6 linked regions of the Ovis aries genome follow. The protein of the gene in region 1 interacts with the protein of each later gene in a pairwise test. Links are inferred from orthologs where the notes say so. Each region holds a gene or a part of one and is shown in the gene's direction. Other genes may lie near its edges. The genes, in order: FATE1, SYNGR1, TIMMDC1, INPP5K, MARCHF5 and KASH5.

The links.
Region 2: the proteins of FATE1 (region 1) and SYNGR1 interact in binary tests that used the Homo sapiens proteins (3 or more experiments, as listed by UniProt). The two-hybrid records come from large-scale screens. The link is inferred for Ovis aries from reciprocal best matches to the Homo sapiens genes FATE1 and SYNGR1.
Region 3: the proteins of FATE1 (region 1) and TIMMDC1 interact in binary tests that used the Homo sapiens proteins (3 or more experiments, as listed by UniProt). The two-hybrid records come from large-scale screens. The link is inferred for Ovis aries from reciprocal best matches to the Homo sapiens genes FATE1 and TIMMDC1.
Region 4: the proteins of FATE1 (region 1) and INPP5K interact in binary tests that used the Homo sapiens proteins (3 or more experiments, as listed by UniProt). The link is inferred for Ovis aries from reciprocal best matches to the Homo sapiens genes FATE1 and INPP5K.
Region 5: the proteins of FATE1 (region 1) and MARCHF5 interact in binary tests that used the Homo sapiens proteins (3 or more experiments, as listed by UniProt). The two-hybrid records come from large-scale screens. The link is inferred for Ovis aries from reciprocal best matches to the Homo sapiens genes FATE1 and MARCHF5.
Region 6: the proteins of FATE1 (region 1) and KASH5 interact in binary tests that used the Homo sapiens proteins (3 or more experiments, as listed by UniProt). The two-hybrid records come from large-scale screens. The link is inferred for Ovis aries from reciprocal best matches to the Homo sapiens genes FATE1 and KASH5.

The regions. Positions count from the first base shown.
Region 1 is NC_056080.1:84,011,287-84,016,260, reverse strand, and holds the end of FATE1 (fetal and adult testis-expressed transcript protein), read left to right. Parts: intron 1-2,193; coding exon 2,194-2,300; intron 2,301-2,671; coding exon 2,672-2,747; intron 2,748-3,511; coding exon 3,512-3,643; 3' UTR 3,644-4,099; downstream 4,100-4,974. UniProt on the Homo sapiens protein: Involved in the regulation of endoplasmic reticulum (ER)-mitochondria coupling. Negatively regulates the ER-mitochondria distance and Ca(2+) transfer from ER to mitochondria possibly implicating it in the regulation of apoptosis.
Region 2 is NC_056056.1:216,597,992-216,603,116, forward strand, and holds the start of SYNGR1 (synaptogyrin-1), read left to right. Parts: upstream 1-1,867; 5' UTR 1,868-1,918; coding exon 1,919-2,017; intron 2,018-5,125. UniProt on the Homo sapiens protein: May play a role in regulated exocytosis. Modulates the localization of synaptophysin/SYP into synaptic-like microvesicles and may therefore play a role in synaptic-like microvesicle formation and/or maturation.
Region 3 is NC_056054.1:185,152,828-185,157,268, forward strand, and holds part of TIMMDC1 (complex I assembly factor TIMMDC1, mitochondrial), read left to right. Parts: intron 1-1,108; coding exon 1,109-1,274; intron 1,275-4,322; coding exon 4,323-4,411; intron 4,412-4,441.
Region 4 is NC_056064.1:22,525,918-22,530,358, reverse strand, and holds part of INPP5K (inositol polyphosphate 5-phosphatase K), read left to right. Parts: intron 1-281; coding exon 282-457; intron 458-1,058; coding exon 1,059-1,170; intron 1,171-1,817; coding exon 1,818-1,927; intron 1,928-4,441. UniProt on the Homo sapiens protein: Inositol 5-phosphatase which acts on inositol 1,4,5-trisphosphate, inositol 1,3,4,5-tetrakisphosphate, phosphatidylinositol 4,5-bisphosphate and phosphatidylinositol 3,4,5-trisphosphate.
Region 5 is NC_056075.1:13,570,897-13,575,780, forward strand, and holds the start of MARCHF5 (E3 ubiquitin-protein ligase MARCHF5), read left to right. Parts: upstream 1-1,594; 5' UTR 1,595-1,919; coding exon 1,920-1,954; intron 1,955-4,884. UniProt on the Homo sapiens protein: Mitochondrial E3 ubiquitin-protein ligase that plays a crucial role in the control of mitochondrial morphology by acting as a positive regulator of mitochondrial fission and as an important regulator of immune response.
Region 6 is NC_056067.1:55,594,044-55,598,484, forward strand, and holds part of KASH5 (protein KASH5), read left to right. Parts: intron 1-2,666; coding exon 2,667-2,771; intron 2,772-3,190; coding exon 3,191-3,377; intron 3,378-3,822; coding exon 3,823-3,887; intron 3,888-4,441. UniProt on the Homo sapiens protein: As a component of the LINC (LInker of Nucleoskeleton and Cytoskeleton) complex, involved in the connection between the nuclear lamina and the cytoskeleton.

The DNA.
Region 1 (4,974 bases):
AGAAACATGGTTGTTTTACTGTTGCAAAGGTTATAGGAGGTAGAGGGAAGGCAAATTGACTGGAGAGGCAGGAAGACCTGATGTTCTAGAAAATCAGCCGAGTTACATTTTGTTCCTCTGTAATGAATTTTTAAAATTATACTAACCATATGAGGGAATGTTGTAGAGAAAATGGTGGCCATGTTGTTGCATTCAGTTCAGTTCAGTTCAGTCGCTCAGTCGTGTCCGACTCTTTGTGACCCCATGAACCACAGCACGCCAGGCCTCCCTGTCCATCACCAACTCCTGAAGGTTACCCAAACTCATGTCCATTGAGTCAGTGATGCCATCCAACCATCCCATCCTCTATTGTCCCCTTCTCCTCCTGCCTTCAGTCTTTCGCAACATCAGGGTCTTTTCAAATGAGTCAGCTCTTCACATCAGGTGGCCAAAGTATTGGAGTTTCAGCTTTAGCATCAGTCCTTCCAAAGAACACCCAGGACTGATCTCCTTTAGGATGAACTGGTTGGATCTCCTTGCAGTCCAAGGGACTCTCAAGAGTCTTCTCCAACAGCACAGTTCAAAACCATCAATTCTTTGGCACTCAGCTTTCTTTAAAGTCCAGCTCTCACATCCATACATGACTACTGGAAAAACCATAGCTTTGACTAGACAGACCTTTGTTGACAAAGTAATGTCTCTGCTTTTTATTATGCTGTCTAGGTTGGTCATAACTTTCCTTCCAAGGAGTAAGCGTCTTTTAATTTCATGGCTGCAGTCACCATCTGCAGTGATTTTGGAGCCCCCCAAAATAAAGTCTGACACTGTTTCCACTGTTTCCCCATCTACTTGCCATGAAGTGATGGCACCAGATGCCATGATCTTAATTTTCTGAATGCTGGGCTTTAAGCCAACTTTTTCGCTCTCCTCTTTCACTTTCAAGAGGCTCTTTAGTTCTTCACTTTCTACCATATCTTCTTCACATGCATTAAATATGGGGAAAAGCCAGCCATTTTGAGGAGGAGGGAGACCTGATTGTTTCATGAAATCACTTAAGTCTAGTAGTTCTGTGGCTGATTCTGTTAGCTATATTCACCTTGGATGTGGGCAAGCTGCTTATGTTCTAACTTTGATGTAGAAGGTGGGGGCACTGAGAGGGGTTTAATTAATCTCTAGATTAATTATAGTTGCCTATTAGGACTAGAGGAATATACCTTTAAAAAATAGAGTCCTTATATTGATTGTAGAAATTAAATTTAGACACTTAGAATTAAATGTATAAATTCTATATATTTATTCATTATTTATTTTTGAGTAAAATGTTAATGAAATGCTATTGCCTCTGAGAGAACCACAACATGAAAGAAAAAAAAAATTCATAATACTACTCTGCTCATTTGGGAAAAATGATGTAGTGTGCCTTAAAAAATAAATGAAAATAAAAATAACATTTTTGGAAATAATTGACAGAGGGAGGCTGCACTTGCTGCAGTTCATAGATTTTAAAAATCCCCATCAAATGTAAATAAAAATCTGATGTTTTGAAATGTATATAACTCTAAGTAGAGAGTTTCTAAAATTAAAAAGAAAAGAAAGAAAAGACAACTCCTTTGGACAGTTAGACCTATCAAATGATTGGTGATCACAAGTTATCATCAGGCTTGCATATGTTGTTAAATTAATTCTTAAGATATTGATGTGTTAAATATAAAATATTTTACCTCAAACAAACAAACAAACAATACACCCTACTAACTCATCCTTATTTTGCCTTCAACTCTCTCAAAAAGCATTTTCTCATTCTGATCCCAATCTATAAGAAAATCAAGGGGGTATTGTGGAAATTTTTCTAGGAGAGACTCTCTATCTAATTCTTCTTTATAGTCCTGAAGTCTTCCTGACACACACTGTCCTTTTAATGCTGTTTTTGAGGTATCTTACTGCTTGCAATGCAGGAGACGTGGGTTTGATCCCTGGGTCAGGAAGATCGCCTGGAGTAGGAAATTACAACTCACTCCTGAAGTCTTGCCTGGAGAGCCCCATGGCCAGAGGAGCCTGGTGGAGGTGGGGTGGTGGCAGGCAGCCAACCTGTGTGACTCCCAGGCTCTTCTGATTCTGGAGGATCAGGCTCCACGTGACTCCCAATGGGGTGTGCTGATGCTCCCAAAGTATGGGCCCAAGCAGGATACTTTGACTGATGGTTCCTTTCCCTAGGGGCTGCAGCTGCGGGGAGTTGGAGTGGTGGGAGAACAAGGCGATGGTGGTGCCCGACCCCAGGAGAATCCTGGCGGCTCCCAGGGCATGAGGTCCCAGTATGAGCGGTAAGAAGGATCCCATGGACCCTGCGGGAGAGAAAGGACAGGGCTTTTGGGGCAGGGACCCAGGGAGTTGGCAAGCAGACTGCCCAAGAGGGAGCAGTGAACAGCTGGCCATGCTTGGAGTATGGGGACTCTGTTGCCTCCTCACCACAGCCATAGAGCCCCCTGGCCCCTTGCCTGTTCAGGGCCTCCTAGCATCCCACAGCAGGGCCAGCTCCCAGCCCTCAGGCTTCAGGACCTGTGACCAGAGAAGGGGAGAGCTCCAGGCAGACAGACTCATGGTCCAGAGAAGTCCACAACCTTACCCATCTGCCTTTATGGCTCTCCTGGGACCACCAGAGGCTCTGACTCTCTGTGTTTAACTCTCTGTGCAGCCGAGAGTTAAATACACTGGCTGAGATTGGTCTGGAAGAGCTCAATGAGCTGGAGATGGAGATCATGAGAAGACAGGTGAGTGTCTGATTGTCAGGGACCCACTTGAAGGTGGGAGGCAGAATCATGGTGAATGGGTGGGTGGGGCCACCCACCTTGAGGATACCCAGCCTCTCCAATCATATTCATCTGCTAGCAGTGGAGGCGAAATCAGGCTTGCTTCCCCATTCACCCAGCCTTCTTGTCTCCAGTGTCCTATCTTGAGGCCTAGGCTCAACCCCATCTTTATGCCTGACATGTGGGAAGGGAGAAGGGAGGAGAAGAGGAGGAAGAGGGGACATCAGAGGATAAGAGAAGTTTATTCATAGAGAGTGATGCCAAGAGGACTGAGCCAGGGGTCATGTTCATTCAGGCCAAGTTCAGGTCTCCTTGGTTTGAGACCCCAGCAGGCATGGGCATGGGCAGGAAGGATGTCTTCCCTGGTGGCCCTCTCTGGCCTTGCATGTCACCCCATCCTGAGGCCCTTACTCTGGTGCTGCTGCACCCCATCCCCTTCCCTGGCAGCTGGGATGGGCTGGCTTCTTCCAGACAATGGGAAGAACTGGTGATGGTGGAGGCAAGGTGGCAGGGACTGAGAACACAGACAGCCCAGTCTCTGGGTTACACTGGGCCCATCCCCAGCCCTGGTCAGCTGCTCTGCCTGCTTCTTGCCCAGAGGCCCTTTTCCTCCCAAAGCACAGCAGAGGCCCTCCTTGGTCTAAAGTCATATTTTACCCCCATTGGTGTGCTGTGGACTTCCCTAGAAGAGCCTTGTTCACCAGCTAGCTCTGGTCTCTCTGCAGCTGTTCATGATTACTGAGCGTCTGCGCTACCTGGAGGACCAGAGTGCCACCTGGCACCAACGGGAGGTGCTGTTATTCACCATGCTGCTGTCTTCCTGCATCGCCAACCTATGGCTGTGGATGCGCCAGTGATGTTTCCTGCCGGTCCGCCGTGCAGCTAGAGCCCTTCAGTCCTCCCTTTCTTCCCTTCTCTCCCTCAGCCACCTCTGCCATCCTCCTTCTAACTTTCAGCAGCCTTCAACAGTATCGCCACCATTTTCCACCTCTGCCCGAGGGAGGCCCTAGCTGCTGGGAGGTGGAGGAAGTGTAGAATCGCGAAGGTCAGAATGGACTGAGATCCAGCCTCTTTGCAGGGAGAGGATGGTGGTTTCCAGTCCCCACAGTAACAGCAGTGGTAGGTGCTTCCTCCTTCCCTGTCAGGGCTCCATGGTGACCATCTTGGAGCTAGACCTTGCCTCTGGGCCCTCAGTGTCTCTTCTGTTCCATCCTTGGCAGGGGCTTGGCTGTGTCTTCCCTGTTTTCTTCAAGGTTGTGCTCAGGGCTCTGCACACAGAATATTCTCAATAAAAGTTCAGTTATAGCAGCAAACCCTGGTGACTGAATTTCTTGCATCCAGGACTCGCATGGGGACAGCCCCTCTGGACAAAATCCTTGGTTCCTCCTTCCCAGGCTCCTCCTGCCTCTCCATTGCCTGCCCAGTTGGGGAAGGCACTCCTTAGGGGCAGAGTTAGGCAAAGCCCTTCCTGTGGGACTTCCACCAGCAAATGCTTATGGGGACATAGTTTTGCAGCAGCAGCTTGTCCTAGTTGGACATTACAGGGACTCATTCAGAGAAATCTCCTGGATAGGACCACAAACTTTTCCATTTGCTCAGGAGAAATTGAGGCCCAAAGAAGGGAAACATGGCCCTGGGGTCACCTGAGACAGCCCTAGGGTCTAGGGCTTGGCCTTCCTCCAACAGATCGATTGGGGACCAGCCCCAACTCAGCTTCGGAGGCCGGATGGGAGATCACATAGAGGGACTTTGAACCCTTCTCCTCTGTGTCCACAGCTCTGAAATGTTCTCATAGAGGACAGTGTGCTGAGTATGGTACTGGGACTTGGCCTAAGAGGGCAGGAGTGTCACTGCTTCGGGCCTGGCCTCAGGGCCAATGTGCTGGGGGCCAGGAGGCCATCAAAAGAACTGCTGCCCTTTCTCTGGGACCAAGGGTTAAATACACATTTCTCCGCGGGCAAGGACCTGGATCATTACATTGTTATTGGCTTTAGTGGCTCAACAGAGCTTATCCCAGCCCCCAAGTCAGTCAAGGCTTCTCCATCTCTAAAGATGAGAGAGTGTGCTAGTCACTAGATATAAAATAAACATGATGGCATGTGCGTGTGTGTGTGTATGAGAGAGAGAGAGAGAGAGAGAGAGAGAGAGAGTGTGTGTGTATGAGTGAGGAGGGAGGGTGAGGGGAAGA
Region 2 (5,125 bases), on another chromosome or scaffold:
GGCTGTATATTGTCACCCTGCTTATTTAACTTATATGCACAGTACATCATGCAAAATGCCAGGCTGGAGGAAGCACAAGCTGAACTCAAGATTGCCAGGAGAAATATCAATAACCTCAGATACGCAGATGATACCACCCTTATGGCAGAAAGCGAAGAACAACCAAAGAGTCTCTTGATAGTGAGAGAGGAGAGTGAAAAAGTTGGCTTAAAGCTCAACATTCAGAAAACGAAGATCATGGCATCCGGTCCCATCACTTCATGGCAAATAGATGGGGAAACAATGGAAACAGTGACAGACCTTAATTTCTTGGGCTTCAAAATCACTGCAGATGGTGACTGCAGCCATGAGGTTAAAAGATGCTTGCTCCTTGGAAAAAAAGCTATGACCAACCTAGACAGCATATTAAAAAGCAGAGACATTACTTTGCCAACAAAGGTCCATCTAGTCAAAACTATGGTTTTTCCAGTGGTCATGTATGAATATGAGAGTTGGACTATAAAGAAAGCTGACCACTGAAGAATTGATGCTTTTGAACTGTGGTGTTGGAGAAGCCTCTTGAGAGTCCTTTGGACTGCAAGGAGATCCAACCAGTCCATCCTAAAGGAAATCAGTCCTGAATGTTCATTGGAAGGACTGATGCTGAAGCTGAAACTCCAATATTTGGCCACCTGATGCGAAGAACTGACTCCTTGGTAAAGACCCTGATGCTGGGAAAGATTGAGGGCAGGAGGAGAAGGGGACGACAGAGGATGAGATGGCTGGATGGCATCACCTATGCGATGGACAAGAGTTTGAACAGGCTCTAGGAGTTGGTGATGGACAGGGAGGCCTGGTGTGCTGCAGTCCATGGGGTCGCAAAGAGTCAGACAGGACTGAGTGACTGAACTGTGTGCCAGGCCCTTGGTTACAGCAGTGAACAAAGTAGACAAAATCCACACACTAGCAGAGGAAGACGATGAACAAATAATACTAATTACTGGAAGCACAGTATGATGGTGGGCTGGCATTCCTGCATGCCCAGTTCTGTCCCACACTTTGCAACCCCATGGGCTGTAGACCGCCAGGCTCCTGCGTCCATGGAATTTCCCCCGAAAGAATACTGGCGCGAGTTACCTTTCCTCCTCTAGAGGATCTTCCTGGCCCAAGGATTGAACCATCATCTCCTGAAATGCCAGGCAGATAATTTACCACTGAGCTACCTGGGAAGCCTGCTGGTAGGGTGGGGGTAGGCAGGACCTCTCCCAAAGAATTTATTGTCCTTCTTCCGCCTTTGTTTCTGAGCCAAGTATCGCTGACCCCTCCAGGCTGGGAGTGGAGGACACATAGGATTTGAGCAGTGAGCGTAAAAGCAAGGTGGAAGGCTAGGAGGTTGGGCAGGGGGTGGGGAGCTGTGCTTCAGAAGGCTCTCGAGAGAAAGGTTATTCATTCACGGTTCATTCATTCGAAAAGTCTTCCTGCGGCACCTCCTGTGTCCCAAGCACCCCATAAAGAGGACAAAGGCGGTCCCTCCTCGCTCATTATATTGGGGGCAAGACAGATCGCCAGGAAACCAGCAAACAAGTAAGGAAGGTGGTTTCATCCCAGAGCCGCGTAGGCTCGGAGGGGGCAGTGATGGTCGCAGGGCGGCCCGGTCCTGGGGGGCGGCGACAAGCCCTGCATTTGCTGCACACACACACCCCCTCCTCGTCCCCCCGCCCCCTCTACTTAGCAAAGAGGTCACCAAGCCGGCGACGAGCGCGCCCTCCGCCCGGACCGCAGAACCCGCGCCCGCCCGGCTCCCTCCGCGCACAGCGCCCCCTCGCGGGAGCCCTCGACCACGCGGGTGGCGCGAGCCGGGGAGGGGGCGGGGGCGCCGCGCACGCGCACGGGCCGGCGGCGCGCGCCGAACGGGGGGCACCGCGCGGGTGCAGCCACGATGGAAGGGGGTGCGTACGGAGCTGGCAAAGCCGGGGGCGCCTTCGACCCCTACACCCTGGTCCGGCAGCCTCACACCATCCTGCGCGTCGTTTCCTGGGTAAGGACGGCCGGGTGGCCCGGCCGGACTCGGGGTGGGGAGCCGGGGTGGGAGGTGCGGGCAAGGGCCGAGCGCCGGGACGGACGCCAACTACCCCCGGGGCACCGGGGGACCCGGGCGCGGCCGCTGGTGGGGAGCCGTCCGCCCGGGGTTCTGACGCCCGCCCCTCTTTCCTTCCCGAGCCCCCGGACAGGGGTGCCCAGCGCTCGCGGAGGCTTTCCTGCTCCCCCACCCCTGGCTTCCCGGTGACCCTACTACTTGCTCTCCCCCGCGTCGCGGTGACCTCCAGGCCGCGACCAGCCACCTCACGGCTCGGGCTGCGTGCGGCCGCTTGGGCGGACTGGCGACCGTGGGGACCAAACCCTGGTTTCAGGTGGCTTTTTTTTTTTTTTTGAGGGGGGGTGTGTGTCGGTGAATCACCAGGTGGCCTTGTTTTTGAGAGTGGGGGGGTGAATCAGGGCGTGGATCGTCTCGTGGGGGTGCACGCGCGCTTGCCATGGACGTTCAAGGAGGAGAGGGCAGGAAACCGGGCTTTTGTGGCTTAACCTGGACAGTGTGGAGCGACGCGGCGGGAGCCGGATTCCTGGCTTCCACTGGGAACTGCCTTTCCCGCAGCGTGACCTTGGGCTGGAAGCCACTGGAGAAATGTTCCTGGGAAACAAGTAGTTAAATTCTGAGATGGGCAGCGTCACCTCCTCTGGCTTGCCTCAGTTTCCCTATTTGTGGCCAGATGGGAGGAGCCTCCTTGAGACCTCCTTGGGCTGGGGACAAGCCCTGAACACACCTGGATGCCCCAGCAGTGGGGCGTGGGAGCCGGAGAAAGGACCCCTGCCCACAGAGAAGGGCAGAGAGGCCCGAACTTGACCTCCAGCCTGGTGAGGGCAGAATACCCCAGTGCAGAGAGCTGAGTGGGGGGGTCCCTGTTCAAAGCTGGGGTTGAGGAGAGGATGGGACAGAACCAGCACACGGCGAAGGGTTCACATGGCCTGGGAGGCACCCCCAGGGAAGGGAGGCCTGCCCCTCTCTGGAAAGGGGTATCTGGGGCTCCCTCGGGTTGCCCAGGCCCACTCACTAGAGGGTCTTGCCTCTGCAGGCCTGGGGCCCCTGCCTGTGGGCCTATGTTAGAAGTGCCCGCACTGGGGACACTGGGCAGGGGCCCTACCAGCCACCCCAGGGGGTGCACCTGAAGCCCGCTGAGGCCAAGGCATGCTCAAGCTCCCTCACTTCCTGGATTTTCAGGGCCACATTAGCGTGTGATGGGTGGGACCGTTGGGTGTTTATCTCTGGCCTCCCAGAGGAAAAGGGAGCTATTTACCTTTGCTTTGTCTTAAAACGTTCAAACCTGCCTCTGGTGCCTCAGGAAGCATCGTGGCAACATTTACACTCCAGGCTTCTCAAGTGCCCCCCAGATGGGGAGCTCTCTGGGGGCAGGGAAGCCCGGTGATGGCCCACGGCCAGGCACCCCAGGGGTACATCTTGGAAGGTTTGTGGTGCCAGGTTCATTCATCCGTGTCGTCTCCAGCTCCGCAGAGACCCTGGCAAATCCTCGGCAACAGTGCAGCTCTGGGGGACACCTGCCTGACCAGGTGGGCCGGCTCTGTGCTCTGCTTCCCTCACCTGGCCTCTGGGCCGCTGGCCTGGGAGGGTGAAGTCACCGGCTTTGTGAGGGGGTGTGGGCGTTTTGTCTGCCTGGGTCACTTCTGCTGGTGATGGCTTCATTTAGCGAAGCTTTATTGAGTCGGCTAGGCCCAGAGGGAAGGTGGCATGACTCAGACACATCCCTTTAGTGCCAGGGAGCCTCCGGTCCTGCCGGGGAGTGAGCCAGGCACCCCCAGGCAGAGAGGCTGGGAGCGCTCGGGGAGGAATCAGAGAAGCTTCCTGGAGAAGGTGATGTCAAATTGGGCCTGGAAGAATGAGGAGGGTTGACAGGCGTGCACATCCATGCACAGGGAGGACCTTCCAAGCCGAAGACAGAAAAAGTCACTACGCACCTATTGTGTGCAGGACTGCACTCACGATTGCTCACCTATTTCCCCTGGAGACGCACTTGAGGCATCTGAGGTTCAGAGAGGCCCAGGGTTACTGAGCATCGTGGTGGCAAACGAAGAGGATTTGAACTCAAACCTTCCTGTCTCCAAAGCACAGTGCTTTCCCTGGATCAGGAAGCATTTGGAATCCTGAGATCTCAGATTGGGGAAGGATAAGGGTCATCTGGGTCCACAGCCCCCATCCAATACCCCAAAGGCCCCCACAGCCTCCCAGCCCTGCTCACTACCTTTACATGAGCAGAGGTGTCTGATACAGGCTGATTGACACTTTTAAAAATGTACATAGGTTTTTTTTCCTAGTCATTAGAAGTAATACCTGCCAATAAACAGAGAACACAAGTCACTTGTGATGATTGTACAATGATATATACATACTTAGCACCACTGATCTGTACACTTAAAAATGGTTAAGGTGGTAAATTTTACGTTATGTGTGTGTGTGCTCAGTGGTGCCCGACTCTTCGTGACCCCATGGACTGCAGCCTAGCATGGCTTCTCTGTCCAAAGGGTTTTCCAGGCAAGGTTATTGGAGTTGCCATTTTCTATTCCAATGTTGTATGTATCTTACCACAAAAAAAAGGAAGAAAAAGCCCATGTGATCCCACCTCATAAGAAGGGCCTCTGTCTCCTTCCAGTCTTTCTCAAAAACACATGGTGTCCTGAGACATTTTAACATGCTGGGGTCATGTCGTGGACACATGTGCCGACCTGTCCTTTGCCCTCGGGTTCCTTCTGCTCCCCACAGAGTCTGGCAGGTCTTAAGCTTCACCTTTGAGCTAGTGGAGTCTGAGCATCCATCACCGATTTTCCCTGGTTTGCCAGAACTTTCCTGCCTTCTACACAGGAAGTCCCATATCCTGGGAGCAGCCCTGTCCCAGACAGACAAGATGGCCGGTCACTCTGTCCAGGATTCCTGTGCTCCCCAGACCCTTCTTGCAGCCCTGGAGGGGCCCTAGCATTGAGAGCACATGGGCTCTTGATTGTGTAAAAATCTGTAAAAGATCTTTGTTATTTCTGTTATTTATTTGAAAGTGGGCCCCCAAAGCATGTAAGCTTCAGA
Region 3 (4,441 bases), on another chromosome or scaffold:
TGGTTCTATTCACTATGCAAGATGAAATATAAAGTCCGGATGATAGCAGTTTTTCCTGTTGATATAAGAATTTGTTTCTTAAGAAATTTGTTTAGGTTTCTCACTTGTATATGCGGCAACTGTAAGAACTCACTGATTCTGATTTCAAAAATGTGGTTGTTAGAATTAGATAAACACTTGTACAGTCTCAGAAGAAAGCAAGTTAGTAGTTTGTAAAAAATTAATATTCAGTGGTTTACTTATGTAGGAGGGCCATTACTTCTAGTAACTAAACACTTACAAACTTAGCTGTTTGTTAGAGCAATTTCCAGAGGACATCTTGGAAGCCGCAACATAGCTTCTAGTTTCTAATGCTTTTGAGAGTAATAGAGTGAATGAAATAGTAGCTTTTCCCATTTATTTTAGGTTGGTCTGTGCTGCCCACTGCATCATGAGCTTTCTCACTCAGTGGTCTTTAATAGATAGTACAGGCCCATCTGAGCATGACATAAAAATTAAATATTCAGAAAGATAAAATTTTGGTATTTTTTTTACATATAGGTATTCATTCTTGCATATATTGTCCTAAAATCCCATAAGTTTTTATAATTTCCAAAAGTTACCTAAAAATTCAAAAAGGTAATTGTTAATTTCTGCATCCAGTTTACAAATTCTTTCTGTTTCCAGGGATATAGTAGAGCTGTAAGAGTCATCAAATGAAATAACCCTTTAAAAAAACTTTTTATTGCAGTATAAATAAAATATGCACCTAGAAAAATGTACATAAGTATACCTGTCAGTGACTTTTCACTAAGCATAGGTCTGTATCCAGCCCTGAGAGACTGTTAACAGTGTCCCAGAAGCTCCCCCTTGTGCCCCTTCTCTGTCCTTGCCCCTGCCTTCCCAAGAATACCTACTAATCTAACTTCTGAAAGCATAGGTTAGTTTTAACTGAGATTTGAGCCACTTGCAATATAATTATTTAATTCATCAGAAGATTTAATTGGTTCTGTCCATCATGAAAAACTTAAGTCCTATTTAGCATTTGGGATAATTCTGATCATACTGTCTTTTGGAGAGCAGTATCCATAAACTAATCCCAAACAACATTGTCTTTTTGATGTTTTAGTGAACAGCAGAGAACTTCAAAAGAACTTCAGGATATTTACAAGGCAGCAGCTTCAGCAGGCATCATTGGCTGGGCATATGGGGGAATACCAGCATTTATTCATGCTAAACAGCGCTACATTGAGCAGAGCCAAGCAGAAGTTTACCACAACCAGCTTGATGCTGTGGTACGTACTGGTGTTCTAATAGTATTTGGGGGCATGCCAATTGGGAGCCTGGTGGGCTGCCGTCTATGGGGTCGCACAGAGTTGGACATGACTGAAGCAACTTAGCAGCAGCAGCAGTTTTTGCTGCTCACTTTATACTTAATCATCTAGCTAGGTAGTAGGGTTGAGAAGATTTAGGAAACAAAGTCTACTCAGCAATAGTGGAAGTGCTAATGCTATAGTGCGTGCTCAAACTTTGTCAGACCACTTTTCTTACTAGAATTGATCACCACCGTGGCTCTACTTTCTGAAATATATTTCTAATCTCCTGCTAAATCATCAAGGTTCAGCTGTAGTGTATTTATCCTATTCACAAAGCCTATGTGCAGTACAGTAGCTCACACTAAAATAATCATTAACAATTAGAGCTTTACAGTTTGTTGAGTGCTGACTCATTTGTTGTATCTTACATCTGTATATCAGTTCTGTTGTCCTAGTGAGGAAGTTATGGCTCAGAATTTTTTGTTTTTTAAAATCTATGTTGTTGTTTTTTTTTAATTGTGTCAAGTTTTAAAAGTTGCAAAAGTAGTGCCAGTGTCCTGTAATGTCCAAGAGGGATTGGTTCCAGGACTCGTGTGGATACCAAAATCCACAAATGCTCGAGTCTTTTATTATTTTTAAAAAAACCATAGTACCATACGTCCTTCATATCCATGGTTCCACTTCCTCAGGTTCCAACTCTGGGGATACTGAGGGCTGACTGTACAAAGAATTCCTGTGCACCTTTCAGTCAGATTCCCCAAACATTAACATTTTACCACATTTGCTTTCTTATTCTCCCTGCATGAGGCATGCTGTTGTTTTATTGTGAACTGCTTGGGAGTATGTTTTAGGCATGGTGAGTGCTTCAGCATACATTTCCTAAAAAACAAAGACATTTTCTTACATAACCACAATATTATTATGCAGTTCAGGACATTAATACTGATAGAGTACTATTATCTTATCAATGGACTTTATGTAAATTTTGCTTATTGTCCCACTAACGTTATTTTTAAAGTAAACGAGTAATTAATTTTTTTTTCTGGTCCAGGATCTAGTACCGGATCAGATGTTGAATTTGCCTGTTGTGCCTCTCTAGTCAGTCTCCATTAATTTGGAACAGTTTTTCTATTGTTCTTTGACTTTCGTGACCTCAATATTTTTTAATACTTGGGCCTTTTATTTTGTATTGTAGAATGTCCCACAATTTGGACATTTGATGTTTTCTTGTGATTAAATTTCACTTAAGTGTTTTCACAGGAATACCCTACAGTTAATACTATATCCTTCCCAGTAAGTAATGATAAGAAGCATGAGATACCTATTTGTCCCTCAACTGGGGATACTTACTTTAATCACTTAAGATGGTCCCTGCCATGTTTATCCACTATAAAATTATTGAGTTTTTCCCTTTGTGGTTAATAAATATCTTAGAAATACTTATTAGATACTTTGAGACTATGCAAATATCCTATTTTTCATCAATTTTTCACCCTCTGGTTTCAGTATTCAGTGCTGATTCTTTCCTAAAATAGTTATTACTGTGGTGGTAACCAAATGGCCATTTTCTAATTCCATCATCCATGTATATTTATTGGTTAGTATTCTGCTGTAAGGAAGAGCTTTCACTTTCCCTCTATTTATCTGTCCATTTATCCATTTATAATTTATTCAGCGGGGACTTGTTGACTCTTATGTTATTCTATGGTTTTATAATCCATTATTACCATCATTTATTTTGATACTTGGCATCGATTTAGACTGTTGGAATCCCTTCAGGCTAGCTCCTGTGTCCTTTTGATGATGTCCCCGTTAGTCTTTGAGCACATCTTTACTTTGGAGCACAGCATGGTTTTTCTGGTTCATCTTTTCAAGCACCAGCCTTGTTTCTTTTAAAATGGTATTTAAATGACTCAGGGAACTTGGGGCTCTGTGACAATCTAGAAGAGTGGGATGGGGAAGGAGGTTTGGGAGGGAGGGGACATGGGTGTACCTATGGCTGATCTTGTTGATGTATGACAGAAAACCACAAAATTCTATAAAGCAATTATCCTTCAATTAAAAAAAAAATAAAGTGGCAAAAAGAAAACGGTATTTAAAAACCAAGATCTGGGGCTAGGCATGCTCATTGCTACTGAGGTATGATGGTGTCTAGGCAGATAGAGCTAGGAAATGTGTATGTATGTGTGTGATTTATATACGTTTTCATACATATATCTCTGTTTCTATATTTGTCTGCCTATTCAGTAAAAGCCATGAGTTTGCACTGATACCTTTCAAAGAGTATACCTGCCCAGTATCGTATAGTAGCTAAGACTACACCTAGGGATTCTGTCAGATTCTTTAAAAATCTAGGCTTTACCCTCACAATATTATGCCAGACTTGCTTCATGATGGTTAATGAAAATGAGCGGTGGACACAGACAACGTAACTTCCAATTCTGACTTTATTCTTTATTGGCTGAGTGATCTTGGTTAGAAACTTTCTCTTTATGCCTTTTAACACCTGCTTGAAGAAAATGTTGTAAAGATTAAATGAGGTAATATGTTAGCAACTTTTACGTAGAAGGTGGTCAGTAAAGATTAGGTTTTTTTTCTTCCTTTCTTCCTCTCATGCACATCTGTATTACTTTAATCCTTACTGTTTATAGTTTACTCAGTGTTCCTTCTTTATTTTCTGTTTTTTTCTTTTCCCCACAATTTCTTGAAAAAAAGCATGTCTAATACTGATTTTATGTCTGCTCATAGTATTTGCCATATGGATTCTTAGTTGCTATTTAACTGATGAATTACTTGGTTGACACTGCATTTCTTAGTTCCTTTTACACCCTGTGATAGAATAGAGTGCACATGGTGCATTTGCTTAAGTTTCAGTAATTGAAGAATGACATTTCTAGAGATTTTCTATTGTTTGTATCTATTTAGGTGTCCCTACCTATTTCCTAGCTGACATTCCTCCACCACAGTTTTAGAACATGGAAAGTATCAAGGTATCTCGGAACCTCACAGCCTTTTTGTTAACTTTAGCAATCTGCCCATCGTGCTGCTACACGAGGCTTCATCCGGTATGGCTGGCGCTGGAGTTGGAGAACGGCCGTGTTTGTGACTATATTCAAGTAAGTTCTCTGAATCGTCATGAAGGATTT
Region 4 (4,441 bases), on another chromosome or scaffold:
GGCTGACGGCATTAGAGCTGGGCAACTGAAAAAGGGATTGACTGAATTGAAAAGAGGGGGTGAAATGAATCTTGGCACTCTGTCCAGGCCAGTGCCCCGCATAGCTGCCTTCCCTCCTCTGGGGGGCCTAGTGTCCCTGGGACGGCAGGTAGGTGAGCTGGGCTGTGCGGAGGTGAGTGTCTGCTGACCCTGGGAGATCCCGCAGGAACTGAGACCATCTGCCCTCAGGCCCCGGATGGGAAAACAGAGGTGTGTCCCCCCACTTCCTGCCCACCTACCAGGGGAACAAAGGGGGTGTCAACATCTTTCTGAAGCTTTACGGCTACTATGTCAGCATCATCAACTGCCACCTGCCCCCCCACATGGCCAACAATGACCAGCGGCTGGAGCACTTTGACCGGATCCTGGAGATGCAGAATTTTGAGGCACAAGATACCCCCAACATCCTGGACCATGAGTGAGCGTGCTGCTGTGAACCGTGCCCGACCCTCTCCCCAGGCCAGCCCCGGCAAGCCTGCTCTGCCCGGTCACTGCTTCCCTGCCAGAGTCAGTCTGCCCCCATCTCCCGCCCTCTCGCAGCCTCTTTCCTGATGCCCTGTCTACTCTCCTCTCCAGCTCTGCCTGCCTGGGGTCTGGGACCCCTTCCCTTTGCCTGGCCCCTCTGTCCTGCCTAGAAACTCTGGATGCTTCCCCCAGGTCAAGAACCTTGTGGTTCCTAGGTCCCCGGGAAGGGCTGGTTCTCAGGTGTGCCTTGTGGGGTACCTGGTGCCGGGTACCCAGCTGGGGGACAGGGAGGGAGGGCTAGAGCCTGCTCCATATTTGCCACTTGCCTCTCAGGGCTGGTCCCTTTGGCTTGAATGGCTGGTGGGGCCAGGAGAACAGGCCCTTTGGAGCCCACCCTTGTCTTCACCTGATCCTCTCTCAGCCTCTGGCTTTTGACCCGCCCCTCGAGCCTCCTGCTCGAGCCTTGCAGCGAGCGGTCAGAGCCCCTGTGGCCTCCTGCCTGCTCTGACCCCATCACAGACCCTCAGGCCGCCTGCCTTCCTTTCTTTCTGAAGCCTCATTCTCTGGTTTGGAGACATGAACTTTCGGATCGAGGACTTCGGGTTGCACTTTGTTCGAGAATCCATAAAAAATCAGCGCTACAGTGACCTGTGGGAGAAGGATCAGGTATCTGAGAGTGGAGATCTGAGCCCAAGAGAGGAGAGTTCTGAGCCCAAGGGCAGGGAGGTCAGCAGGAGGTGTGGGGAGGTTCCCTAGCGCCCGTTCTCCTTTCCCAAGCCTTCAAAAGTCCCTGACCCCAGGCAGGGCAGAGTCTAATAGAATAGGCCTTGGTTGCTGGGAGCGGGGCAGCCAGGCTTGTCTGGCCAGCCTGGTCTCCACCTGGAGGCGCTCCAGCACCAGGTGTGTGTGAGGTCAGGGAGCGAGAAGGGCTTTGGCCTGCCCTGCACCAGCCCTGAATGTCCCTGTGGTCTCTCCCACTCCCAACCTGTCTTGCCTCCTGGAGGGTGAGATGCCACCCACTGGGACATCTGCCTACTCCAGCCTCCCCTCTGATACACTTCTGCTAGTAGCCCCTAGGGAAATAGAATTCATAGCCTGGTCCCTGTGGTTCAAGGACTGGAAAGTGCCAGGCGGTTCCCTCCCCTGGGACTACGGGGTGAGAGTGAGGGGGTGATGTTTGCGTTCGCATTCAGCTGCTGTCCTGGGGGTGGGGTACAGGGCTGGGGCAGTGAGGAGCAGTCTGACTGGGAGGGTACCGCCAGGTTTGAATCTTGCCCCACTGTGACGGCAAGTGCTGATCCCTTTTCCTCCAGCTCAGCATCGCCAAGAGACACGACCCACTGCTGCGGGAATTCCAGGAAGGCTCCCTGCTCTTCCCACCCACCTACAAGTTTGATAAAAACTCCAACAACTATGACACCAGGTGAGAGGGCCCCACCGGGAGAGGATGTGCCTGTCACAGATCTGGGCCTGGAAAGTCAGACCATGCTGGCCCTTGTGATCATGGGAGCCACCTTCAGTTAGAAGTGTCAGGGGAGCAGGACTAGATCCAGCCATCACCTCTCAGGAGTGGTACCTCCGTACCCCTGATGAGAGGCTGCCTGTGGGAGCTGTCCCAGGAGGGAGCAGGATGGGGAGCTGGTGCTGGCCAGAATAGGGGCTGGGGCCGGGGCAGGTAGAACCAAAGGGGAGGGAAGACAGCTGATTGCTGACGGCAGGGCAGGGGAGATCGGGGAGGGACTGTACTTCAGCATCCTTCAGACTCCTGCCCTTCTGCCCCCACAGTGTTTCTGGTCCTGCCCAGATGATGGTGGGGACAGAAAGCTTGGCTCAGCCAGCCACTGGTGTTAAGTAGTCCTGCCGTGGCTGTGAGTGGGTTGAGTACTAGTTAAGGAAGATGAAGTAGGAGTTGTCAGTGGGGCAGTTAATGGGGAACAATGCAGAGATAGGGCACCTGGTTAGAAATTAGAAGCACAGTTTGTGCTTTATCGGCAGAATGACCTTGGTCATGGTATTTAAGCCTCAATTTTTCCATCTATAAAATGGGGATGATAACAGTACCTATTTCATGGGACTGAGGATTCATTGAGACCACCAAAGGACTTCCATGGTGGTCCCGTAGCTAAGACTCCTGGCTCCCAAAGCAGGGGGTGCAGTTTTGATCCCTGGTTAGATCCCACGTGCTGCAACTAAGACCCAGGGCAGCCAAGTAAATGAATATTTAAAAAGAAATAAATAAGACCCGGCATGTTAGCCTAGTGCCTGGCACCCGGTAGGCACCATGATAACTGCTGTTGTTGTTTTTAGATTCAGGTCTTCAGGTAGGAGTTTTACTGAAAGCCTTTCTAAAGAACTGAGAAAGGGATAGGTAACCACTAAAACCTTAGACTTAGGCAGTGGGGCAAAAGTAGCTCGGACCCAAAGCCCCTGACCCGATTTAGGGCAGGGACCCTCATCTCTTTGAAGAATAATAACCCCCTACATGTTATGGGGCTCTTTGTATTCCCCTAGCAGAATTGTCTTCTGAGGGAGATAGGAGGTGCCCCCAGGGCAGCCCAGTCCTCTGGGATTTAGGCGGTAAGTAGATCTGTCCACAGCCAGGCCAGGATGAGAGGGGCCCTGCTGGCCCAGGGCCGGAAGCCATGTGGCAGAGCCACAATGTCCCCACCAAGCGATGAGGAGAGCGTGAGCCATTTGAGGCGTGTGGAGCAAGACAGAGTGGGGTCACAGCCACGGGTAGTGCACACAAGAAGAGGCCACAGACACTGGAACCGAGGGCCAGCCTGGGCCGCAGCACAAGCCAGAAAGTAGGGAAGAGGGCAGGGTCCCACTGGCCTACAGGCCCAGGTCCGCGACTGCCCGTCTCCCTGGCCACCCATTGGAAATGAGGATCATCGTGGAAATTGTCAGGCCTCTGTGGGACAAGCCGAGATCCTCTACCAGGTGACACTTGCCCGCAGGAAGAGAGCTGCTAACAGGCCACGTGGCCAGGCATCACTCTGCTTATAACCCCGGGTTCGGGAGGGAAGCCTCAGGAGCCTGGAAGTCACGCAGGCGGTGTAGAGAGGCTCAGAGACGTTCACGATCTTCCCCAGGTGGCTGTGCTCGTGATAGTGGAGCCGGGGCTAGACCTCTCCAGACTGTGTTGCCCATGAGGCTTTCCTCTAGCCCGCAGTGCCTCCAAGTTCACAGCCAATCTTTTTTTTTTTTTTTTGATGAATTGTATTTATTTTTAATGTGTATTTATTTTTTGGCTGTGCCACACAACATGTAGGGTCTTAGTTTCCCAACCAGGGATCCAACCCATACCCCCTGCATTGGAAGCGTGGAGTCCTAACCATTGGGCCACCAGGGAAGTCCGCACAGCCAGTCTTGCCAGCTAGCAGCAGAAAGGAGGTCAGGGCTAGGATAGCAAAACGCTTGCCAAGGAGAAGGCAGGTGCTATTTCTATGTGATAGATACAATCCACACTGTGACTGACATCGCTGAGTGCTGACCACGGGCCAGGCTTTGGGCAGAGGGCTTTGCCCGCATCACTTCACTTGATTCCTACTGTATCTTCGTTGGGTAGACAGTGTTGATACTGACTTCTTACAAATAAGGAAACAGTATCTCAGAAGGTCTAAGTAAGGTAGTAACAGAGTAAGTGATGCAAAAATTTGAACTGAGGTCTGTGAATCCAGACTCATGCTTCCCTTGCCTGGAGCCCAGGAAATGAAGGAATGTCTGGGCAGGAACAACGGCATTACAGGGGGACATCACGACTGAAACATCCCAGCTCTAGTGCCTGTGGTTGGCAGGGGCCCCACATAGGGAACAGAAACGTTCCTGTGTGATCAGTCTGTTATTCATCCTTGAAAACCTGGTGGAGGCATCATCTCTGCTGGGAAATCTCCCTTGGCCCCTGCCAGTTTCGCTAAGAGCTCTCCTGCTGTTA
Region 5 (4,884 bases), on another chromosome or scaffold:
TAAGATGAGGTGAAAATTCCTTTTAATGTAAGTCATAAAATTAAATGGAGTCTGCTCTAACCTATGCAATCAATATGCTAGAATAAAATTGTTTTTTGAGCAGAATGTATGTATCCATCTCCTTCTGGCTGACAATTGCTTTAACAGATAAACACACGGTAAGAGAAGACTTACCCAGTAGGAGTAGTAATAAATAGGAATTTAAAATCTCAAATGCCTTAATAAATTACTTATTTCCCTCCCCTGTCATGGGCCTGCTTCTCATTTCATGAGAAAAGGGTAAAGCATTAATTATAATTAGTCACGTAAATTCCCAAAGTCTTTCATAAAAGCATCTTTCAGAAATCAGAGGCCAAATAACTTCTGGTCACATGTTATTTTTATTTTTCTTCCTGGCGATGTACACTCTAGTTCAAATATATTCAGGAAGCAGACTGTAAGCAAGAAATTAGAGCTGATTGCAAAATTCTGCGTAAAAATTAAAAGAACTTTAAAAACACATTTTAATGTAAAGAAAAATCAAACATCTTGCGGCAGAAATTAGGCATCGTCAGGAGAAAACTACCAAACGTTCTACCAATCACAGCACTAGAGAACGCCACAGGTCGTCCAAAAGACTCCTTCCTTTTAGCCAACAGTTTTTCCTCCCGCCAAAGCTGTCCCTAGAGCATCAGAGAATAACTTCAACGAGCGATTTATGATTTTTTCCTTTTGATCTCTCCTCCACACACATCCACCTGCTTGGAGGTGTCAAGGCGACTAGAAATGGTTAACACTGACCAGCAGCAGACAGAGAAACAAACACCCCTGACAACCCACAGCTGAGTAAGCAAGAGCTGTTTATTCACGACCATGTTCCATTTGGAGACTATTGGCAAGCCCTTGAAAGCCCAGGCACATTTTAGAAGGTTCCTAGAGAGGGAGGGAATAATCTCCCCTCGACACACACACACACACGCACGCACACACACACACACACACACACACACACACACCCCACCCCTCTCCCCCCGCCCTGAGAAACATACACTGAGAGGTTCGGGTGGGAACCTTCTGGTCAAGGCAGCCCCTGCCCTTCCGACCCCTCAGGAATAACCTCACGCACTAGAGCATCCGACCCCTTGCAGGGGTTGTGTAACTCCCCAAAATGGGCTCAGACGCCGCAGAGGCTGGCCCCAGCGCTGAGGGCTTCCGAAGACGCTTTCTGCCACCCCCACCCCCTCCATGGCCCACCCCGACGCCGCGGCCGGGACTGGAGACCCTGCCGAGAAATGGCCCTTTAGATCCCACCCCTCACCTGGCTCGGTCCCACCTGAGCACCAGAGCTGAGAGAAAACAGGCAGGGAGAGCTGACCTTGATGCTACTGACAGTGGAGCGGCACATCCTGCTGCTTCCTGGAAAGCGGCCCGCAGGACATTTTTCCCCCTGGAGGAAGGAAACGGGAGGGCGCCGGCCGGGCGGCGGCGGGCGCGGCGGCGGTGGTCCGGGCGGGCTGTGCAGCCTCTAGCGGGGACGGTCCGAGGACTACATCTCCCAGGCTGCTCTGGGCCGCCTTGCGTCGTGACCCCAGCGCGCACGGAGGCGGTGACTCTTACCTCACAGAGGTAGCTCCTCCGCCGGCAGCAACTCGGCGCCCGCGGTCCATGGACCGGAACCCCGGGCCGACGGGCAGGAACCCCGGCCGCGATTGCCGTCTCCCCGCCCTAGGCTCCTCCTCCTCGCTCCCCACTGCCTCCTCCGGACGCCCGCGGGCCGCGCACCGCCACCGCCGGGCTCGCGGAGCCGCCCCGGGAGGCTGGGTGGCGGGTTCGCGGCTGCCGCCGGACTGAGGCCTACTCCGCCGCCTCTCAGTGCTATTGTCCTGGGCCCGGCCCTGACCGGGCTCACCGGAGAGGCGAGTGCGCCGGCTCCGCCGAAGATGCCGGACCAAGCCCTACAGCAGATGCTGGACAGGTACGGGCAGCCTTTGGGGAGGACGCGAGCAGCTGATCCTCGTTCCGGCCCTGCCGCGCCCGGCCTCGGGGCTCTTCGGAGCGGAGCCCAGCATGCCGGGAGGAGTTCTACGGCCTGGGGGCCGGGCGAGGGGCCGAAAGTTTGGAGTCAGTACTTGCGGGAGGACGGAGCGGGCGGCCTGGATGCGTAGACTTAAAGCGAAACTTAGTTAAGGAGTGGCGTCTAGCTTCGTCGGAACGCCTTTGCGAAGTGAGAGGGGCTTCTATGAACCCAGAGAATTAGTTTCTTTTTCTCACTCTTCTCCTCCCCTCCCCCCAAACGGTGTTGTAACGTGTTTGCCCGAGATGTCACTGGCGAGAAGAGCCAAACTAATTTTCTGAGGAATGATCCTCCTCCAATTTTAACTCTTTCCAAAAGCCGAGGAAAAATAAGCATTCGTTTGGAAAGCTTCATGGGCAAACTTCATTCTTCCTTCCTCCGCATCCCCAACCCCAAACTATAAGACCAAGAGTATCCGCAAGGGACTTTAACGGTCAGACCAGAGTAGAGGTTATGGGAAACACAGAAATCCAACCCTGAACATTTCGTGTATTTTACCATGCGTTAAGTTCCCTGAGAAAGTTTCATCTTGTCATGCGGCAAGTTCCTGGGGGCGGGGGAGGGGGAGGGGGAGGGTCCGGTCGGTAAAACTTTATGTGAAATCGGCTGCAGAGCCCTCTGCTGTTGAAATTCTAGTCTCTGGGTTCTACCACGAGTTTCTGGAGACCCTTACTCCGCATTTTCCACTAAGGACATAACTTCCTGGCAACGCCAATGCTATTGGGTAATGTATGTTTTCGTTGCCTACAACTCTCAGTAGACCACTCGCTACCCACTTCAGCGTGTGATATAGCTCTATACTGAGAACAAATCCAACTGGAAAGTGTTAAATGAAGAGGCTCCCTTAAATGAAATTATACCCAATGAAATTATGCTTGGATCACACCCAGAACACAAATCACTCAAGAGTACCTCTTCTTTCAAAGTGACAGACATTTCCTTTGGAGCTTAGAATTTTGGGACGTCTGCCGCTGCTGCTGCTAAGTCGCTTCAGTCGTGTATGACTGTGCGACCCCATAGACGGCAGCCCACCAGGCTCCCCCATCCTTGGGATTCTCCAGGCAAGAACACGAGTGGGTTGCCATTTCCTTCTCCAGTGCATGAAAGTGGAAAGTGAAAGTGAAGTCGCTCAGTCGTGTCCGACTCTGCGACCCCCTCGACTGTAGCCTACCAGGCTCCCCCGTCTAGAAATCATGGTACTGACTTTTTTTTCAGTTGGGGTGACCCAGTGATTAATCCAACCCTTGTTCTAGGAGAGCATTCAGATCAAGTTGTATTGACTACTCCCTTTTTATATAAGTAGTTTACAAGCTCCTGAAAGGCAGAAGTCATTATTTCAAATTCTACAACCCCCTGTACAAAGCAAGTCATCAGTAAATACTTTTATGAACAAATGCATGAACTTTTTTGTCTTTCTCACCAGTTCTGTAGTGGTCTAATAATTTACCATACTGGCAAGTTACATAGGACAACTGAAATATGCCCACAGGAGACCATTTTCTGCCACTGCCAATTCCAATCAAAGACCCTATTTTGGTGCTGGGTATTTTGTAATTAATTTTTACCCCCTCTGAGGGCCTGCTGCTTTCCACTTATATGTAGTTGACTTTTGTGTCCAAAAGCTGATCTGGCTTTGGAGATTTCCATAAAAGTAAAAAACCCAAGGAGTGCCAGCAAGACATTTACAGTTGGTCTCAACAGAAACTTGGAAATTCTGGCTGCATATACTGAAACAGGTGACTGTAATACTGGCTTCCCTCATCTTCTCTTTTTGACATATCTCTTTAAGATGATATTCAAAGATCATTTTGCAGCCTGGCCCCCTGTTGGAATCACCTGAGGAGTATTTTAACATATGGATAGATGCCTGACTGTACCCACGACCAATTAGTTCACAGATTTCTGGAGAATAGGGCCTGAGCATGGGTATTTTTAAAAGCTTTTCAGATGTTTGTTGTGGTTGAAAATCACTTTTAAAGGGTTTGTTTGTTTGTTTGTTTTTGGTAGTGCCACATGGCTCGAGGGATCTTAGTTCCCCAACTAGGGATTGAATCTGGGCCTCCTGCAGTGGAAGCAGAGTTCTAACCACTGGACCACCAGGGAATTCCCACTACCCTAAACCCTAAGTGATTGTTTCATGATAAGGGATAGTACTTTTTAGTGAGGTAAGCTTGGACAGAAATCTTGAAATTCTCTTTTTGCCACTTACCGGCTATATGACTTTGGATTTAAATTCTGAGGTTCTACATCATCTTTAAAAAATGATAATGTCCTACTTTACAGGACTGTATAAATGAGAACAAGTATAAGTACTTTGTTGTTGTTCTTGTACAGGCTCTCTGTTGTGTTTTATACAACAATAAAATGCCATTCGTATGTTAGGCACACAGAAGGTACTTAAGATCCTGGTATAACCGGGATTTCCCTGGTGGTGCAGTGATTGGGAGTTTGCCTTCCAGCGCAGGGGACGTGTGTATGATCTCTGTTGGGGAAACTTAAGATCCCACATGCCACAGGACAAGGAAGCCTGAGTGCCGGAACTAGAGAGAAGCCTGTGTGCATTGTGCTAAGACCCAATCCAGCCAAATAAATTAATATTTTTAAAAAAAATTCTAATGTAACCAATCAATTAGCAATTTACACACACACACACACACACACACACACCCCTCCCTCATCTCCTTTCTATTTACTATCATCTTAATCTGGGCTAGCCCCCCTGCAAGTTGAACACAAAGATACTTGATGGGTTCATTTGAGGAATACTGACAAGTTCAAGAGACTAAAATATGTCAACCTGTTAGGACCCAGAATTCTTGCTTGAATTTGGC
Region 6 (4,441 bases), on another chromosome or scaffold:
AATGGATGGCAATCATAGTATTATTGAACCTAATACATCTAAAACAGTGTCCTTTCAGCATACAATCAATGTAAAAATGTACTGAAGTTACTCTCTTTTTTTATAAGTTTTCAGCATCTGGCATGTACTTTACACTGACATGAGTGTGTGCATGCTTAGTCACTTCAGTTGTGTCTAACTCTTTGCAGCCCTATGGACTGTAGCCCGTCAGGCTCTTCTGTCCGTGGGATTCTCCAGACTAGAATACTGTAGTGGGTTGCCATGCCCCCCTCCAGGGGATCTTCCTGACCCAGGAATCGAACCCACATCTCCTGTGTCCCCTGCATTGCAGGCGGATTCTTTACCCACTGAGCCACCTGGGAAGCCACTTTATACCAATAGAGCATCTCATCTCACTCTCACCACTGTTCAGATCTCAAGAATCACTGTGGCTGTCGGCTGTCCTGCTGATCATGCTGCTAGGGAGCAATACCTGACATATAATAGGAACCCAGTTACTAACTTTTGAATGATCAGTTGGACACAGACCAAATGGGTGTGAAAGTGGCTTCAGGAGGAAGATGTTGGGTTGTCCTTTCTGAAACTCATCTACTAAACAGTGAGAGAGCCAAGGGAGACTCCCACCCTAGAGGAGAGACAGGGCCCCTTTCTTAGAGGCTCTTAGCATCTAGCCTCAAAGCCGGTGTCTTCTCTCTGGCCTCAGGAGGCTTGCCAGATAGGAAGGCAGGAGGCAGACACCTGGGCAGGCTGACCAAGTGACCAGCATCTGAACGTGTAAACTTCATGTGCACCAGCAGAGGGCGTGCGGCCGCCGAGGAACTTGTGGCCGCGCTTTGGGAGACTCCCAGAGAAAAGGGAGGGACACACCCAGGAGAGATGGAGACTGAGGAAAGCAGGAGATGGAAAGAGAGAGAGTGACAGTGGAGGAAGGAGAGAGAAGCCTTGGAGAGTCGCTGAGTTACGGGAGAAGCAGCACAGAGACGAGAAGATGGGGGTGGAGGACGTGGAGACAGGCAGGTGGGACTTGAGGGCCAAAGAGATAGGGAGGAGAGTGGAAAGAGTCGGAGACAAAACTGGAGAAAGGACAGGACAGACAGAGAGGTAGAGACACTGAGGAAGGAAAGAGAACAGGAGAGAAGCAGAGTGACTTCTTCCTGAGGGGCCCCGGGAGGCTGAGGGTCGCATCTGCGCTGTAGATCCATGCAGCTCCTCAGATCCCACGACATCTGGAGCCAGGCAGTCCTGGGTGACCTCACTGGGCCACAGGGTCCTCCTGTATAATGTAGGGGGGCACCACGTCTCCCCTAACTGTAGGTCCTGCTCCCTTTCCTTAGAAGCCGAAGTTCAAACCCGAAGGGGCTAAATTTTTAGCTCAGTACAGAGAACCCTTGAAGAGTTAGTGCGATGAGAAATGGCAATCAGATGTTGAACATGTGACCTTGGGCAAGTTTCCCACTTGTCTGTGCCTAAGTATCCTGGTTTGTAATCATAGCAGCCACTGTGGTTCATGTCAAATGCTCAGAAGAGGCGTGGCTCCTAGTAAATGCTGAATAAATGTGCAGTTTTATTATCGAGCTTCCAGATTTTATTAATATCTTATCTCCTCTCTAGGAGGGAATTAGCCCCCACTCACCCACCCACGCATTTTCCATAGGAAGAAACTGAGGCTTAGAGAGACTGAGTCCCTTGCCCAGGTTGCACTTGAGTCTGCCAGACCTTGCAGCCTGCACTCTGCTACACCCATCTGTTCAGGGGCAGGGCAGGAGCTTCAGCGGTCACTTCCAGCCCCTGGAGAGATCCAGTGGGTCCAGGGGTGGAGAATGTGTAGGCTCCTTCTATATCTTGGAGCATTTTTTGAGTGCTGCTTTGTGTGGGCACAGTGGATACAGCAGCAGACAGACCCCAGGATGTTCACATTGTGCGGAGGTGGGAAGCAGGAAGTGCTCTTCACTTACACAGACCTCACCCTCCCAGCCCCAGGGAGGGGGAGGATCACTCTATCCACCCATTTTACTGGTGGGAAAACTGAGGCTCCAAAAGGCAAAGAGACTTGCCCACAGTCCTGCAGCTGGAACTCTGAGGTCGGAACCGCACCACCACTCACCCTGGCTGGATTGTCCCATCCCCCTTTGTTTCAGGCCCCAGCCCGTGGGCGCTGATGATGCCAGCCAGCCTCAGGGATGTGGGGAGGAGAGACCCAGCCCTGAGGCAGGCTGAGAGACCGGAGATGCTGAGGGCAGGCGGGATCGATCCAGGCTGCCCGCGCGATATTGGATTGTTCCTGGTTCCTGGGCCCCCTTCACCCTCCGCTTCTCCCAGAATCCTCTCTTCTTCATCCTCCTCTGTCCCTCGCCCCCTCTAAGCCAGGGAAGAGAGGGGAAAAGGCTATAAGAGGGTTTGTTCAGTATTGTGGGCTCCTGAGCCGGTTGGACACAAGGGATTAGACAGCGGGGGCGGGGGGGGGCACTTCCTGGCCTGAAGGATGAGGGGGGCCCACATTCCCAAATCGGGGGATGGGGAAGGTGACTCGAGGACCCTCACCTTGTGGCCCCCACCAGCCCAAACCCCAGGCAGCTTGGAATGAATTCCCTCCCCTCTGCAGGAGCCCCTCTTTGTTCTTCATCGTCCCCCTCCCCACAGATGGGCTGGCCCTCTTGTCTCCTCAGTGTACCTCTGGGACCAGGCAGAGGACGGGAGCCTGGGGACACTGCTCAGCTTAGAGGAGCAAATACTCAACTCCACGTTCGAAGCTTGTGACCCCCAGAGAACAGGTCAGAGGGTCAAGGAATAATAAGGAACGAAGCTGGGGGGCTGAGAACTGGGGGGCCACAGACAGAGGGATGGGCTGGGGTGATGTGGTTGACTGGGAAGCTTCAGGAAGGAAATGGATAGGGGATGGTGAGGGGAGGAAACCTGGGGGAGGAGGGTAAGCAGAGGAAGGCGGGGCTTTGGAGCCTGGGGGAGGGGGAAAGGGCAGCCACTGTGGGCCTAGTGGGGCTCAGCTGGTCCTCTTTGGTCCAGCTCTGAGGTGCAGATGACTGGGCCCCGTTTCCAGGTGAAAACGTTGACTCGGGGGAAGAAGAAGGAGTTGCCCAAAGGCCACGGTGCAGGGGTGCCACCAGCCCAGCCCGTGGTCCCCACCCCTCTCCTTATCCTGACGCAGCCTCCCTCACAGCCTCTCTGTCCCCAGGCACTGTGGCTGTGACCCATCTGCTAGCCTACCTGGAGGCCGTGACTGGACAGGGTCCCCAGGATGCTCGCCTCCAAACACTGGCCTGCAGCCTGGACCCCAATGGGGAGGGCCCTCAGGCCACTGTGGACTTGGACACCTTCCTGGTGGTCATGCGGGACTGGATCACTGCCTGTCAGCTGGATGGGTGGGTCCCCGCACCTCCATCCCCCACCCCAGCCCCCTCAGAAAACCTTTCTTAAGACCTAAGCTCATACCTGCTTACTGCAGCCAGCACGCTTTGGGCACAGGGACCTGCTGTGGTTGGAAGGAGGCTGAGAAGAGAGGAGAGTAGAGATGAGGTTGGGGTGAGGGAAGGGTCTGAGGGCAGAAATGAAAGGGGCTGGAGAGTGGAGAAGGGGGATGTTGAGAGGCTGACAGAGGCCCCTCCCCACCCCTCCAAGCACAGGCTTTGCCCCTCCTGCTTTTCCATCTGGCCCCAGGCGCTTGCCATCTGGCCTCACCTTCCTCCCCACGGTGCTTGCTCTCACCTGACCTGGCCCCCTCCCATCACCCGCAACCCCCTGTCGGAGGCTGGTCAGGATTGGGGGGGGTTGGCTGCAGGGGCCCTAAGCCTCATCCCTTTGATACAGGGGATTAGAGCTGGAAGAGGAGACGGCCTTCGAGGGAGCCCTGACCTCCCAGCAACTGCCATCTGGTGAGATCGCTATATATAGAATGAAGCAGGCAGGCCTAGGGTCAGACAGTGGGGGGGACTTCCCATGGGGGCAGAGCAGGGGATAGGGCCAGACCCCAGAGACATTTGTTCTAACCTAGCTTTCTAGGCACCTGCATGACTGCCTCCCCACATGCCCTGAGCTTTGGGGTTTGCATTTTTCCCCTCAACGGTTGTTTTCAACTCCTCCTCCTGACACCAGCCGTATCACGGAGGTCTCTCCCACCTCTTACCAGCATCACCCTTCCCTGCACTCTACTTCCTGCATCCTCTGTCCCTTTGGTCTTGCCCCACCTCCCGCCTGGCCTGGGCTCAGGCTGTTTTCTCAGCCTAAACTTCCCATGTCTTCCCTCCTCCTTCACTCGGGGTAGGGAAGCCCTGGTGGGGAAAGCCTGGGATGCTGCAAGTGAAGGTCCCTTTCTCTCCAGCATCCTCAGCACAGTTCTGCATCCCTTCCCTGGAGAAATCTGTTTATGACTCGTTACCTGCCCTCTTGTTTTGTCAGTTGGTTTGCTCACCATTCTACCCCAAAGCCT